Linked DNA regions of Lytechinus pictus. Each later gene encodes a partner of the first gene's protein in a complex. Links are inferred from orthologs where the notes say so. Each region holds a gene or a part of one and is shown in the gene's direction. Other genes may lie near its edges.

Region 1 (8,384 bases):
GGTTTGGACCTATATACGATATTACTCAAGTGAACATTACACATCAAATTTTAGAGTCTTTCAGGACCTCCTTGGGAGGAATATTGGAAACACATAGGCATATACGTACGGGTCATTTAGACAATTTTGTAAACTTTGATTGATTCCTAAATAAATTTGGTAGATATTGAATGATCTAGATAAATATTAGATTACGATGGCGCTCAAAGGAGGGGGCAGGGGTGACCACTTAATGATTTTTTTTTTCAAGCAAGAAAACAATTAGGGGTGTGAAAAATGAGGGAAAAGGAGAAAATTTAAGAAGAGAATTGGATAGAGTGTTGGGTCACGGAAATATACAATACTCATTTCAATTAAATGACGTAATTTCGATGTCGTCTGCACACCCCCCCCCATTCGAATACTTTTGTGTCGCCCCTGATTAAACAGAACTGATATAGTGGGAGGTATATTATGTAGAAAAATGTTGTAAAATGGATTCAATGTATAAAAAAAGAACCATGTGGTATATAACTAAAATTAGTATATTAACAAATAATGTATGAGTCGAATACTGATCAATTATTTATGTTACGAATTTAGGAAATAATGATAACTTCTCAAAATATCTTTGCCATTGAATTCCAAATTTCAATCGTGGGATCGAGTGCACACACGTTAAATGAGAATTATATTCCCGTAAAGGGAAGCAGGAAGATATCGGGGAAATATGCCTTGATCCATTTCAAGTGTGTCGTTTAACTTGGAGCACGGAGGGCTTGTATAATTACTTCGAAAATTTATGGCGTTGCCATGGCACCATGCATGCATACGAGCGAGTACCGTATCCATTTGTAAATTACCACAACTACTTCAACCCGAGGAGCCAGAGTAGTAATGAGTCGTCCACCATTAGAGAGCAAAATGCTTAAACTCTCTATTAGTAGAATGATGATCAGTATACATATAAAGATTCGCTGACTGCAATGCAACGGTCACACTAAATAATCAGGGTGGTATTTTGATAACGTTCTTATCTCTGTTCTTGTCTTTTATCGTATCTCATTGAAATAAGAAGACGCTAAAATCATTGAAAATCGTTATTCTGACAATCTTTTTAACGCCATCTTTAGCGCGCTTATTCGCAAATTATAAATTTACGCGCTCAGCATAGGTAGTAAAGCAAGAAAAGATAAGAACGTTTTCAGAATACCAATTTCAGATCGTAACGTAGATAAGAGCATATATTAGATAGGAACGCTTTCAGAATACCATCCCTGGACATTCTAAGCATTTTTTTAAAACCATAAACAGGATGAGTACCTTACTAAACAATAACTCATACAAGCGCGAAGCGCGAGCAAGAAAATTTATTTTTCTGACCTAAAATATATAACATTTTCTTTCAAAAAGGTATTTTAGTTTGAAAAGGGGCATTTTTCCTCCGAGGATTTTTTTTTTTTTTTTTTTTGGGGGGGGGGGGTGGGGGAATACCCCCTGCTCCCCGGTTCGCAGCCCCTGCAAATCGCATCTACAATTGCAATTGAAACAGTTCTTGCATCACCAACATCAGTAAAAGGGAAGAATATCGGAGCTGATACTGTATCAGTTAGCGTGTTAAAAATGGTCACGTTTAATTTCCGTGTATCGACATGCGTTCTTCTTGTTACCGTCTTTCCAAATTTGTTTTACGTTTATTGATTTTGATTTTGAAAATAAAGGCAAAAAGCAAGGGTATCTCTATACTTTTAACATGTGGAAGATATAGGCCTCCCTACTGTCAATAAAACAGAAAAGGAAACATCAGTCAGAACAAACTCATCAATAAAACGATATAGGCCTTATATTGATAAGAAATGGGGGGGGGGGGGAGGGGGAGCGGCAAGACGGCCTTCATTGTTCAGCTCAATATTAAAGACAAAAAGGCAAATTCAACATATCTCTTATTACAGTGACTTTGATCTTTCATTTTTTTGTTATATAAATTAAAGTTCATTTTTGTTTTTTTGTAGGGCCTACATTTAAAACTATTTTAATTGTGAAGCTCTTTTTAAATTATTGTTATTACTAACATTATTGTTGTTATTATTATTATCATTATTACTAATTGTTACTCGAAGCGACGTCATTTTTTGACATCTCGCTAATGGCCTTTCATCACTATTTTGTTTATAAATCATCATCTAGAAGAGATAAAACATCGGGGAATGAACAGTGTAGAATGCAGGAAACTTGCTATGAAAAGACGCAAATTACTCATATTATTCATGCTAGTTTATTCATTTATTCATTCATTTTTTAAAATTCTACACTCTTTTTTTTACAAATAAAGTTGATAAAAATTAGACAAATTAAAATGGAATATTTACCATTATGAGCAGAAGACATATATTTCTGAACAACCTTGAGCTCTTTAGTGTCATACCTTTAAAAATAACAAATACCTACCAACCCAACATGTGTTTCTACCTCCATTAGAAGATAAACAGATACACTCTTGGCCAAAATGTGTTATAAAACACATTGCATTGCGAGGTAACGTAATATGTAAGTGTTTTCATGGAATTCAATTTTCAATTAATTTGATGGCACTGTTTTTTTTTTGTATAAATTTAAAATTAAATTGGTGAAATTGCTAATAAGGGTTTGCTTGGTCGCTACTTGAAATTAGCACTGTCACACGCGCTCCCGCGCATGCATTTGATTCGATTATTAAATTGCTCGTTCAATTTCATACGTTTCCTCTCATTACTTTGTTACTGAGTGTGTAATGGGATTATACACCCATTCAAACCACTATCAAATCAACACACTGTAATCAAATCTAAGCAAGTATCAATGATGGATGTCTTTGCTCATATGAAATGCATGCATGAATACTGCAGAGTACACTCACTTACCATATTGTGCTGTTATTAACTTAAGGATACAAATATATAATTTGAGGCCTATAGTTCCTACTACCCAAGAACGTGCTGGCATTTAATGGATAACAGCAATACAAATTATATTATGATGATAATTATAATAATAATAATAATAAATAATAGTACAGTTCTTAAATACGCATAACACCTACTGGGGCCCGTTTCATAAAGGAACTTGCAACTGTTGTAACTTTGCCATAATGGCAACTACCATGGTAACAGGGCTCAGCAGCCAATCAGAATCAATGTTTCCATGGTAGTTGCCATAACTGCAAAGTTACAACAGTTGCAAGTCCTTTATGAAACGGGCCCCAGGTCTCTATGCGCGAGGAAAGCGAGAAATGTGGTGAGAATTGTAAATTTAAAAGTTAGACATCAAATAATTATACATAAGCTCAAAGAATATTAAACATGGATTGGACCTACATGTGACTAAATTAAACATTCTGAAATAGGTGGGTTTTTAATTGTACTTTGAATTTCTCAAGCTGGGTAATATTTCTTAATGTCGGTGGTAAAGAATTCCATTGTGCTGGTGCAGCTTTTTGGAAAGCCCGATCCCCATATGATTTGGTCTTGACAGTAATTGCAGAGAGAAGATTTTGTGAGCCAGAACGGAGATTACGCTTGGGTTTATGAATTTGGACAAGTTCTTGAAGATAAGCAGGGGCAATACCATGAATACATTTGAATGTTAATATGAGAAGTTTATATTTGATATTATCATAATACACAGCCCAAAGAGCGCTGTTTATAATTTCATACAACGCTGCTCACATGAAACTTGCAGTCTATTAAACAATCATGCTTAATTTATTGAGAATTACGTATCAAAATTAAACCTTTAAAAGATTTTATACACTTGTTTAAACTATTCAAGAAACTAGTTGTTTGTATAAGGTTCATAATATAGTAAACAACATTGTATGAAAATTAAATTCCCCATGTTTGCATATTCATTGTTAAATGATATGTAGATTTCACAAGTCAAAATTCCCATAGTATTCGACAACAATTATTATTCACAATCAGTCGGAATTTAAATGTTTTCAGTCGTTTGATTAAAAAATACTTTCTCGTTGTATTTACATGTATAAATTACCTTGAAAACCTTTCATAAATGGGGTTATAACGACGAAATGAATGACGAAATGAATAGATAGGTGAATGAACGTTTATATTACCATTTCAGCACATTCAATCTATAATTCTTCTTTGATTAATATCATTATTGTCTGCATGTTGTAAACACGATCTTTTAGCTGACTGATCGGTTATTATATACCAATAAAATGATTTAAGGTTCCATGCAATAGAGGTACCTTTGTTTCTCACCATGTAGAAAATACTCATACAATATTTCCCCCTTATTTTCTATATTTTTTTTTGGGGGGGGGGGTGGTTAATGAGTTACAGTGAGTTTCCTTCATTACTAAGGGATTTCCCACGCTACTAACAAAAGATAATATAAAAACACAACGGCTACTAACGAAATTCATGTACATCCTTTGTAAATATTGTGATTTTTGATGATTTGAAAAACTTAAATATATATATTTATATATATAATATATATAAATATATATACAGAAAATCTGACACTACCATCCATCTCCTTAAAAGCAGAAAACACTAATTGATATCACAAGAATCAAACAAACGAAGGACTTATAGGTTAATGAATTCAAATTTTGAACAGATTATTCATGCTTTACTTTGTAGTGTATAGGTCTGGTCTAATACATTCTTCTGCTCGGTGTGAAACAACAAGAGAAACCAAGCAAATCCTGGTTTATTTGGATCGTAATGAAGTTTGATAAGCTATAGCTGGAAAGGTGAAATAGTGCCAAGCAAAAAGTTCGTAATCATAATGGTCGAAAGTAAAGTAAACTACATGTATCACGAATTGCTATGATAAAAACTAATCTGTATTAGGAGTATGGGCAGTGATTTTCTGTTGAAAAAATGTCTTTCCGTTTCTGAAAACATGTTATTCCGTTTCAAATGGAAATTCTTTTTTGTTATTGAAAATGTACACAGCTAAAACGTGAAATCCGTTTTTCAAAGGTTGGCCTTAATTCAAATCAATATTCTCATGAAAAGTACAGAAATTAGTTATTATGTTTTTATAGTAGGCCTAATACTAGTTTTTTGCTCAATTATAGTTTAACTTTACATTGGAGATTTGTTGATTATTAATTTTCTTAGATTCCTCGAGGATATATTTCTCGATTTATGACGTTTTGATCACACAGAATACAACATACAAGATACATGAATAATTCTTGAAAATGCTATGTTTCCTTGCATGTTTATCTAACCGTGACGGATGTCCATCTTCTGACGTCACAATAGATTGAGAAGATAATACGTGGTATGCAGCATGCTGATCATGGTATCCCAACTCGTCCACAGAAGGTCTTTCTTACCTCAGTTCCATGTGCCTTCACGGGTGAGTACCTGGTTTCACGAAACAATTTGTACAAAGTACCGAATGACTTCACTAACGATTAGTGTATAGAGTGCTAAAGTAACTAAACAATATTTTACAAGTTACTGGCTTAAAAACTTTGTGTAAAGTTGCAAATGACTGGTGAGTGATAATGTACCAAATGATTACCTAGAAGTTCTTTCTGAAAAAAATGTTTTTAAAATTACGAGTAACTTCACGAAAAATTGGTGGTGTATGAAGTGCCAAACGATACCCTAAAAGTTATTGTTCTCTTTGTAAAATTGTAAATCGGCATTACAAATTACTGTAAAAAAGAAGAAAAGTATGATTCTCTTGCTATCAACTGATATGTATTTATAATAACAAATTTTGAAATGATCCTCCCTTCAGGTATCGATTTAATAGAATGGATCACTAAATTATTAGATGTTCACAGTACGACGGAAGCGACCCATCTTGCCACTCTGCTATCTCAGTATGGTTATATTTATCCCGTTGAACCTACAAAGACAGTGTCAATCAAAGAAGACAATACACTCTATCGATTCCAAAGTCCCTACTTCTGGACATCACAGGATCGATCGCACGACAATACTGATTATGGTAAGCCGATTGTTGGCAAACATTTTTTTTTCATTTCATTTCACTTATTCATTTATAATACCATTTGTATATTTACAGGTTTTAATGAAACAAATCACAGAAAAGTTACAGATAAGAAAAATTATATACATAGTAAATTGAAAAACAAAAAGTAGCCAAAGTGCTAGTCAGGCCTCACCACACTTTGTAAGTAATGCATTATATTAGAATTCAAAGCTAATTGAAAAGAAAAGAAAGAAAATAATAGTTGACCAAACGAGTTGGCGGTAATAGTCAAATATGACTGGTCGCCATTAATTTCCAACAAACAACAAACATAATGATTTTTTTTTTAAATCTAGACCCTTATTAATTTATTTAAGTTCATTAAGGTGATTAAAATTATAAAAATTGTGGGAAAATATACATTTGTGTGTGACTGTGATGTCGTCTGTCCCACCTTCAATCAATACCCGATGCCCCATGTACACATTTACATAAATCATAATTTAGTTGGTCATGCAAACAAGTCAATAGGAATGAAACTCTCATGCATGGAAAACAAGGGAAGGGAAGCAATGGGAGAGAGAAGCAATGGGGGAGGGAAGGGAGGGAGAGGGGCAAATGGTTGGGGGGGGGGTAGGAAGTTCCAGGTAATGAAGAGGGAAACAAGTGTAATTATAATTGATTACATTTATCGCAGTGTAACAAGGAGAGGAATATGAATTATTTTCATAATTTCACAAAATTTTCTTAGGGTCATATTAACATTTAGATTTGAATAATAAACTCATTCGTATTTTCTTTCCCTGTACAGCTCTTTACCTGGCTAAACGAACAATGAGGAACAAGCAGAACTTTGGATTAGAGGAATATGAAAATGTAAGTTTACTAATCCACGCAAAGTCTTACTTTCCTTAATAAAATTGTTTCTTTCATACTTTTATGTGTGCATGTGGTGTAAACCAAAATCTTGTAAACGATATTTTAGAAGGATCAATAACCAAAATTTACTAGGGGAAAACACCCAGGGGTAAAACTGTCAGAAATTGATAATGAACATTGGCTAAAATGTAATAGAGAGATATATGGGACTGGAAGCATAACAAGCAGAGAGTGATGAAGAGCAAAAAAGTTGGAACTTGGGTTAAATTTGCATACTGAATTATCTTATCTTATTGAAATGCGTGGCTTGTAAAAGCAACAGAATGTGCTATAGGTCTGCATTTAAAAAAATGTATTTTCTCGTACCTGACCACTGATAGCACAAGAAAACGGTATTGATTATGGAAAGTAATCATATCCCAAAGCAAATTGGAAATGAATATACTTTCATTTCACTTTTTGTTTTCTTTGTTTTGAGATCTTATTCATATTCAATTTTCCTTGATGGCAGTATTCATTTGATTTTCAAAACGTTAGTCGTCGGCTTATAAAAAAGGTCATTGACATTGGTAATATTCAAAGCGATTATGGCTTCCATGCGAGAAAGCAGTATACAACGCTGCGTGTGATTTGTCTGGAGCTTGGTGAAGGCTGTTGCACTTCAAATTAATTTTATAGATGATTAAATTAATTCCTGGACAGCTCAAAGCATATCCTCATTCCACTCTGTTACCATGGCGACCAAGAATAACCCCATCTGTTCTGATCAGAGCAACTCATTTCACCACCCACCTGAGCCACAAATCATCTCCCTTTCTCTCTCTGTCTCTTCTTTCTTTTCTCTCTCCTTCCCTTTCTCGGTGTCCTGACTCCTGAATTGGAATTGAAACTGAAATTGAATTTCTGTTTATTGTTTGATTGTAAAATCTGGGAAGCGTTTCATGAAAGGATTTGTGGGACGTTTTATCCGACAACTTCCATTTTAGTTGACGGTTACCATAGCAACAGTGATTCTCAGCCAATCAAAACCAAGGAGAGTTGTCACATCCGACAACTCGCCAGTGAAACCGACTTCGAACCGACCGACGGTCATTGGAAATTGGTTTGGTTGGTTGGTCTGGGTTATGTTCCGTCGTTGTGACTATTGAATCAGGGTGGCTGGTGTGTGTGTGTGTGTGTTTGATTCTTGTGTGTCCCTCTTGATAGAAGCACTATACATGTAAAAACATACAAACACACTCAGAACCTCGCACAACCTCCCACACATCCTCGCACACCCACACGTACTCTCCAAAATCATACATATTGAGAGGAGTAAATGTGAACTTAGGCGTATTGACTCAACCCTATATTTATTTTGTAAAACAACTGTTTTATTTGTTTCTTTAGGGCCTATATGTTTTTTGGTATAATTTTTTTGTGTTTAAAAAATGACAGAAAATTAATGTTTATTTAAAAAAAAAAGAATTCCTTAAACAATACAGGCGTACCTGCAAATGTGTGTTCAGTTATCTGTTTGTGAATACACCATAATGCAACTGTTGAAATCAAGAAAGTCT
Region 2 (8,233 bases), on another chromosome or scaffold:
AGTTAAGAAAAAAAAGCCGCCGCCAGATGTGGAGTGCCCGAGGGCTCAATATTAGGCCCACTGTTATTTCTGAATTATTTATACGATGTATCTTGTCAACTTAATTTCACTCATTTTGCAGATACAAGTGATTTTTATGTCAACCCCATCCCCGGTTCGTAAATAATAAATTTAAGTCTAAATTAGTACTATTAGATAAATGAATTTCTGTAAAGAAACTAATTGAATATTAAATAAAATACATGAAGAAATGCACACGATTTAACGGATTGGGGAAACAAATATATTTCATTAGCATCTTCGTTAATATTTATAGGGATAACAATAAACCAAAAATATGACATGAGCACACTTGTTGGCATTACCTGCAAGTTTTCAAATGAGTTGGGAGTATGAAATAATTTCGATTTTTACCAAGATTCATAATGATGAATTCTATCATGTTACCTTACTTAAACTTTTGTAATATTGCCTTGTGTAGTTCCAATTGCAGAAAAGGGTTGTCTGCATTATAGTCTTTAACCTTAATTGCCCTATATCGAAATCACTCTTTTCTCAATTACAGATTTTGAACGAATAGCTCAAACTTGTCTATGTCGTCAGTAGCGTAATGAGCCCAAAAAAAAAAATTGAGGGGGAAATGTATGCTGACGTATTGGGCAAAAGTTATAAAAAGTTCCGAGCAAAGCGAGCGAGCAAAAATTTCGACAATTTTATTGCAAAAATTCAAAATTGTGATATAGAATTTGACGTAACATTTAGAAAATTATATCAATATTTCACCCTTCTCTCTTTGCTTCTCCAAGTTCCTTTTCTCTGCTTTGTTTTCTTGGTCGTGATTTTTTTGTGGGGGGGGGGGGGGCCAAGAACCTCCCCCATCTGTAGGGCCTACGCCACTGATATCCGTTTTGAAGTAAAAAAAAGTATGGATATTGCTGGCTGGTTTTCACACTCGGTCCACTCAAGGCCGCGGATGCTGTTATTGAAAGGGGTATATATAGGCTAGTCCGGGCTGAAAATAATTATTGAATTCAATAAAAAAAAAACATTAATTTTCTTCCATCTTCACAAAATATCACATTTTTCAATATAATCCATACAAAATTAAAATAGCGTAGATATACTTAAAAAAGATCTGTTAACAGATCTGTTAACAGAAGACGGCGCCATTCCCTAAACGCTAAACTTGTGGTGCATGGGATATATACGCCTGTACCACAAATAGCCTACAATACAAATACAAAACAGGAAATGAAGTAGGGCTAGGAAAAGGGCATGAAGAAGAAAGGCAAGGGAGTGGATCGAGAGAGGGAGAAGTGTGCAGGAGAGCGGGCACATGAATTGCCTCAGCAAAAAGAGAGTACAACAAATTGGTGTGGAAAAGGGCAGCATGCATATAGTTCATTATCTAAAATAAGACTTGAAAAAATAAAATGAATTAAATAGAAGTGTAAAATGTGAAAAAAAATATTCATAGTACTAAATAGGTTCATTATTGCGGAATGAAATAATCGCTAGAGGGTATTCATTTGTCTCGCAATCTATTATGGTCAACAAGGAAATTCGTGATCACTCAACAGATGACGCAGGACACCATCATTGGTTGGCCTCGCCTCATCTCATGTTTAATATTCACAACTCAACAGCGATTAGTAGAAGTAAACTTATCATCACACTATATATATATATATATATATATATATATATATATATATATATAAATATATATATATATATAAATGTTTAAAGTTATACATGGACAACAGCTTTGGCAACTCTTTTATTTGAATATTGTAAAGAAATGGATGAAGAGAACAATGGTAGGCGTAGCTTAAATCAAGGTTCCCCAGAGCTATCTACCCTTTGGGAAAATTTGGTGATGCCGAAAAAATGTCCCTGCCGGGAATCGAACCCGGGCCCCCAGCTTTGAACGCCGGTGCCTTAACCACTAGACCACAGAGACAAGCATGGCGGCTTGTCATTGTTCGAAAGCCACCTTCACACGACAAAGGAAATTATAATTGGTATAGTGTCAAAAATCTGTCTATCTGACGGTCAATCGGATCGGGGTCGCCCTAGCCACTAACCCGTCTCTGTGGTCTTGTGGTTAAGGCACCGGCGTTCAAAGCTAGGGGCCCGGGTTCGATTCCCGGCAGGGACATTTTTTCGGCATCACCAATTTTTCCAAAGGTTAGATAGCTCTGGGGAACCTTGATTTAAGCTACGCTTACCATTGTTCTCTTCATCCATTTCTTTACAATATTCAAATAAAAGAGTTGCCAAAGAGGTTGTAAATGTATAACTTTACACATTTATATATATTTATATATATATACTGTATATACGGTATATATATATATATATATATATATATATATATATATAGTGTGATGATAAGTTTACTTCTACCAATCGCTGTTGAGTTGTGAATATTAAACATGAGATGAGGCGAGGCCAACTAATAATGGTGTCCTGCGTCATCTGTTGAGTTGGCCTCGCCCGGGCCTCGCCCCGGGCCTCGCCTCATCCCATATTCTCATTATCAGAGGCGTCGATCCTGGGGGGGGGGGGGGGGGGCAGGGGGGGCGATCGCCCCACCAATACAAATATTGGGGGGGCAAACATATCATTTTGCCCCCCCCCCAATAATTCCGGATATGCATTAAAAAAAAACAAGATTGTAATGTTCAGCAAGCGAGATTGAGATACACAACTCGTTCTTTATTTAAAATCGTGCTCAAAATGTCCGCTTTTCAGATTGGAATATAAAAATTTTCAGCTCGCGCTTCGCGCTCGCATCATTTCTGTAGCAAAAACCCATACTTTTCATGATTAAATTGGTGAATGTAAATGTCCCATTTTCAGTTCTAAGCCTCAAAAGAACTGCTTCAATTTGCAATCATCTTTTCTTGGATATATAGCTTGTTCTTTATCAAAAACGTCCAGTAAACTGTCATTTTTTCAGATCGAAATATCAAAATTTTCAGCTCGCGCTTCGCGCTCGCATCTATTCTCTTTTAGATACAAATCTTAATCATTGGTACCAAAAATGCTTAGAATATCAAGTTTTCAGCTCAGAATATAAAGAAATTTGAGCTCACTCTCGGCACTCGTACTATCTGTGTAGTGAGATACGTGTCTGTGTCTCATGAGTCATACATATATATATATATATATATATATATATATATGTGTGTGTGTGTGTGTGTATATATAATATATATATATATTATATATACAATTTTTGACAATGATTTTTGACAATTTTTGACAATGATCTTTTTAATAAAGGAATATTTAGCGTTGATCAAATCTTTGATAATGGCCACTTGAAGCCTGTGACTTTTTTTCAAAATCTCGGTATTACCGCAAATCAACTTCTCCAAATAATAGATATTGTGCACGTTATACCAGCAAGCTGGAAAAATTTTAATAGTTTAATAAAGTTTAAAAAAATTGATTTGGTAGACTTTGGGATAAGTATGAATATTGGAAAACAGGAAACAGCTTTTGAAGTAATTAAATCAAAAACAATTTATAACTTGTTTATTACTAAGCTACAAGAGCTATACAAGTTAACACTTAAGGATGGTCACAGTGATTTTGATTTTACTGATGTAGAAATTTGTAAATTATTTGAATATATCAGGAGTACAACTCTTATAAGAAAACAAAGGGAATTTCAGTTTATGCTTTTACATGGAGCAATATATACAAAAGAGCATTTGATGAGATTTGGTTTCGTGGGAGATAATTATTGTTCGTTTGGTTGTACAAAAACTGAATCGTACTTTCATATACTCATGGATTGCATAAAAGTTAAACCTCTTTGGCAATTTTGTATTGATCATTTTTGTTTAGCTGAATTAAGAACTTTGAATTGGAGGGAAATATTCTTAGGGTTACCTGGAAATTCTTGTAGAATTAAATGTGTCAATTCTGTTATTCTTTTTATTAAATATGCAATTTTTAATTCCAGAGCTGAAGGCCGGGTACCGTCATTTATTAAAATACACAAATATATAACGGGTTGTATAGAAGAAGAAAGACGCCTGGCAACGAAGTCAGGCAAGTTAAGTTTACATTTGCAGAAATGGGATGAACTGAAGGTGAAAAGGGATTTGAATGTGAACAGGTGGGATGTGTCTAGTGTGGTGCGAGTGTGAATCCTGGTGTGTATGTTGATGTTTTTTTTTTCTTTTTACTAGTTCTTTTCAATTTCCCCTTCTCTTGTATCAATATGATTTGCAGGTTTTTTTTTCTTTCTGTATCCTATTGCGCCAAAATGTTAAACGTTCATTATGCAGATTTGTATATATTATGTTTGTTTACGTATGCGTGGTATGTGCATGTGTGTATAGGTGTTAAGGTGGGTGTGTGTATGTGTGTATAATTATGTAAAGTTATGTTGAAGCTTGATTTAAAATGGGATGCAATGATAATACATTTAGGTTGATTTCTGTTCTCTGCAAATCATTTATATAGCCATTTAACATTAATTATTATTGAAATACATAGAGGGTTGGGGACTCAGTTGAGTTATTTTTTTTTCAGATATAAAAGTATAATTTTAAGGAGTTTCATTCCGTCCTTATTTGCTTCAGTTCTTGGTAAATATATATGTACTTTTTTGCATATCCTTGTTGATATGAAATGAAGATTTGTATTTTGTTTTGTATTTATCTGCCGTTTATGTAATTCATTTGAATGAAATCCTTAATAAAAACATATTGAAAAAAAAAAAATATATATATATGTATGTGTGTGTGTGTGTGTGTGGGTGGGTGTTTTGTACGATCGAGCGCCTTTGGAACGTTAATGATTTCGCCCCCCCAATCTGAAAAATGGATCGACGCCCCTGATATATATATATATATATTTGTGTGTGTGGGGGTGCCCTTGCATTCACGTGGCAGAACCCTGCCTCCCCCTCCCGCCTCCCCTCCTTTGAGGCAACATTTCATTGGTACCGAGAGGATGAAGAGTATGTTCCGAATTTTTACTGTTTTAGAGCTGATAAATATCCTCGCGCGAGACGAGTTAGTTGTGTAGGTACGTACAGGTTCATTAAACGATCAACGGGATATACCCATAGATGTATACATCTCTATGGATATACCCGATATCGAAACGACGATCTCGAGAAGATGCTAATGTATGGAGTGATGCGGTTGAGGTTGAACTGTCTTGAAGTGGGATCTGTAGTTTCTGCAATATGCCACCATAATAATCTTGCCTTTGAATGAATGTTAAGAATCATGGTGCCAGAATCATTTTATTGTTAAACTCAATTAACGTTAGAACTGCGTTTTTGATAGCAAAAGTCTGATGCGCTGAGCATGCAAGTCAATGCTGAAATTGATAAACGGAATCTGACAACTACCGACCTCGTTCGTAGGATGAGTGCTGCCGCCCAGCCAGGCGCACACTAGCTGACCGAGTCGTCATTTCTTGCCATTTGGGGAGAGCCACCTTTAAATTGAAGTTGGCTTTGCTTCAATCATTCATGTGAACTGAGATCTAGCTGCAGCTGTTGAGCAAGTGAGTGTCTAGACCAAAAGCTTCAGTTAGGGAGTTCGGTGAAAATGCCACTTTCAGAATTTGTATCTGTCTGTGGCTGTGCACCCATGCCATGGCCATGTAAAAAAAGTTATAGGCCAGGGGCCCGTTTCTCAACACATGGACAAGTTAGTCATATCTTTATCCACCAACCACGGAGTTAGTTCCAATCTTACTAAACCTGTTTCTCGAAAGGCTTCTTAACTAGAATACCTTGATATCGATACTATCGGTAAAAAGAGCAGACGAGACGTAGCCTTAGTCACAAAATAGCATAATTTTCAATTAGAAAAATTATGACAAAATTGCAAATATTATGATGAATTGGGAAATAAATCTTTTCAAAATAATAGCACAGGTGAATTATGCATCATACATACTTAGACCATGAAGACTGGAGCATTCAATTGCAGAGAAAATTAAATTATGAATAATTCATTTCATGACTAAAGAATCACTTGCGGACGTTGAGATGGGTACCCCCGGGAGACCCAATTTTAATAGTTTACAAAAGTAAACCATAAAAGTTTTCTTTGTAAAATGATGATAATTATACGGACTTTTACGATTCCAAACGTCATCAAAATATAGTTTAACGAAACATTTTTAATCATTGATACCGAAAGATATGATATTGGACAAATTATATGCATAAATTAGAGATAGAATTTATCCAACTGTTAATAGGGGTCTGAAAACAACAAATACGAGTTCAGTTATGGATGGCCTGACGTGGTAGAATCTTGATCGATTAAATCATTTTACTATTTCAAAATGAATGGTTTTGTGGCGTTTACCAACAGTTTTTATAGTTTCTTTGTGTTACAATTATCATTGAATGCATTAACCCACTTGTTTTGTGATGTAATTTCAACCTCTATGATTGATTACGTAAGATTATAATTTTAAAATTTCTAGGCACTTTCGCATGTCATAGTCTACCCACGTGATGCCACTACGTCACTAAGAAAGAAGTTATGACAGGTTCGGAGGTGTCATAAATATTTAGTGAGGTTGTTGTACCCGATCTTGGTAAAGAGGGCTTCGTGAAACGGTTAGCGGACAAGTAGCTCACTATCTCCGATTTAGTCAAGAAGTTAGACTTATGACGGTGTTGAGAAACGGGCCCCTGTAATATAAAACAAATATGAAGTCATTATAGGAGGAGGAAGAACCCTATACTATAGAAACCTATACCATGAGGAACTTTGAAGTTTTATGAATAAAATGATGTATAATTCAAGGGCATGCCTTGCCCCGCATAGCAGTGCATTGCACTTCAAAAAAAAGTATTACACAGTCCCATTCATTGCATCTTGTGTAAGTTATGAAAATCTACTTTTTGCTGTAAAAAAATCTGCACATTCTCCCGTTTAAACAGAAATATCTCTGTCAATATTTGACATCCTGAGTTGATTTATGCACCATTCTTTTTCTTATTTCACAAGCTTTCCAATGGTACCAAATTTGTTAGGATTCCTTCAAGATTTCAAAAAGCAACTGTCTCCCCCTCTCAAACAAGCCTTCAATTTAATATTTTTTTTTGACAGAACAAAATCTGCATATTTTCCACTGTAAATTGGAATATCTCCGTCAATATATCAGACAATGAGTTGAATGAAGCACCATTATTTTTCTCATTTCACAAGCTTTCCAATGATATCAGTATCACATTTGTTGGGATTCTTCAAGATTTCAAAAAGTCACCAAACTCCCTACTTCAGTCTCTGTATTTTGGTTGTTCCGCTGAACTGCGTTGGCTCCACTCACCAATACATAATGGGGATTATAATAGTAAAATGTCAGAAATTGTTAAAGGGGAATGAAACCTTTGGAACAAGTAGGCTTGTGTCGAAACAGAAAAATCAAAGAATAAGAACAAAGAAAGTTTGAGAAAAATCGGACAAATAATGAGAAAGTTATGAGCATTTGAATATTGCAATCACTAATGCTATGGAGATCCTCCTATTGGCAATGCGACAAGGATGTGTGATGTCACATGTGAACAACTTTCCCTATGATGGACTATAAAATACCCCCAAAATGTATCTTTTTGCTTTTTCTAATGGTGATACAAACTCTTTATCCATGATGTATTCTTTAAAAATCTGTATTACATGCCCTCCTGTAGAAAGAACACATGATCCATTGATAGATGTGATAAAAGAGGCAGTTTAAGTGAAATATATACTAAGGTAATGGGGAGAGTTGTTCATGAGTGACATCACACATTTTTGTCACATTGCCAATGTGAGGATCTCCATAGCATTAGTGATCGCTATATTCAAATGCTCATAACTTTCTCATTATTTGTCCGATTTTTCTCAAACTTTCGTTGATTTGTTACTTTGATTTTTCTGTTTTCACACAAGCTATCCTGTTCCAAAGGTTTCATTCTCCTTTAAATAAATCCCCAGAAACAATGGTTATTCCTGTCTAGTGAGTGTCACACTCTGTTCATGTCCTTTCTATTCCTTTCTCCCAATATTAGGGTCTACTTTTTTAAATTTTAGAATGAAACCTTTGGAACAGGATAGCTTGTGTGAAAACAGAAAAATCAAAGAAAAAGATCAACAAAAGTTTGAGAAAAATTGGACAAATAATGAGGAAGTTATGAGCATTTGTATAATAATATACAAACACTCATAACTTCCTCATTATTTAATACAAACGC

Evidence for each region. The genes of interacting proteins can lie anywhere in the genome.
Region 2: regulator of G-protein signaling 11-like (region 1) and regulator of G-protein signaling 9-binding protein-like share a complex: the UniProt entries of both Homo sapiens proteins name them as parts of the RGS9-1-Gbeta5 complex. The link is inferred for Lytechinus pictus from reciprocal best matches to the Homo sapiens genes RGS9 and RGS9BP.

The regions. Positions count from the first base shown.
Region 1 is NC_087254.1:35,610,831-35,619,214, reverse strand, and holds the start of regulator of G-protein signaling 11-like, read left to right. Parts: upstream 1-5,265; 5' UTR 5,266-5,282; coding exon 5,283-5,358; intron 5,359-5,748; coding exon 5,749-5,961; intron 5,962-6,757; coding exon 6,758-6,822; intron 6,823-8,384. UniProt on the Homo sapiens protein: Inhibits signal transduction by increasing the GTPase activity of G protein alpha subunits thereby driving them into their inactive GDP-bound form. Binds to GNAT1. Involved in phototransduction; key element in the recovery phase of visual transduction.
Region 2 is NC_087249.1:10,164,816-10,173,048, reverse strand, and holds the start of regulator of G-protein signaling 9-binding protein-like, read left to right. Parts: upstream 1-5,099; 5' UTR 5,100-5,541; intron 5,542-8,233. UniProt on the Homo sapiens protein: Regulator of G protein-coupled receptor (GPCR) signaling in phototransduction. Participates in the recovery phase of visual transduction via its interaction with RGS9-1 isoform.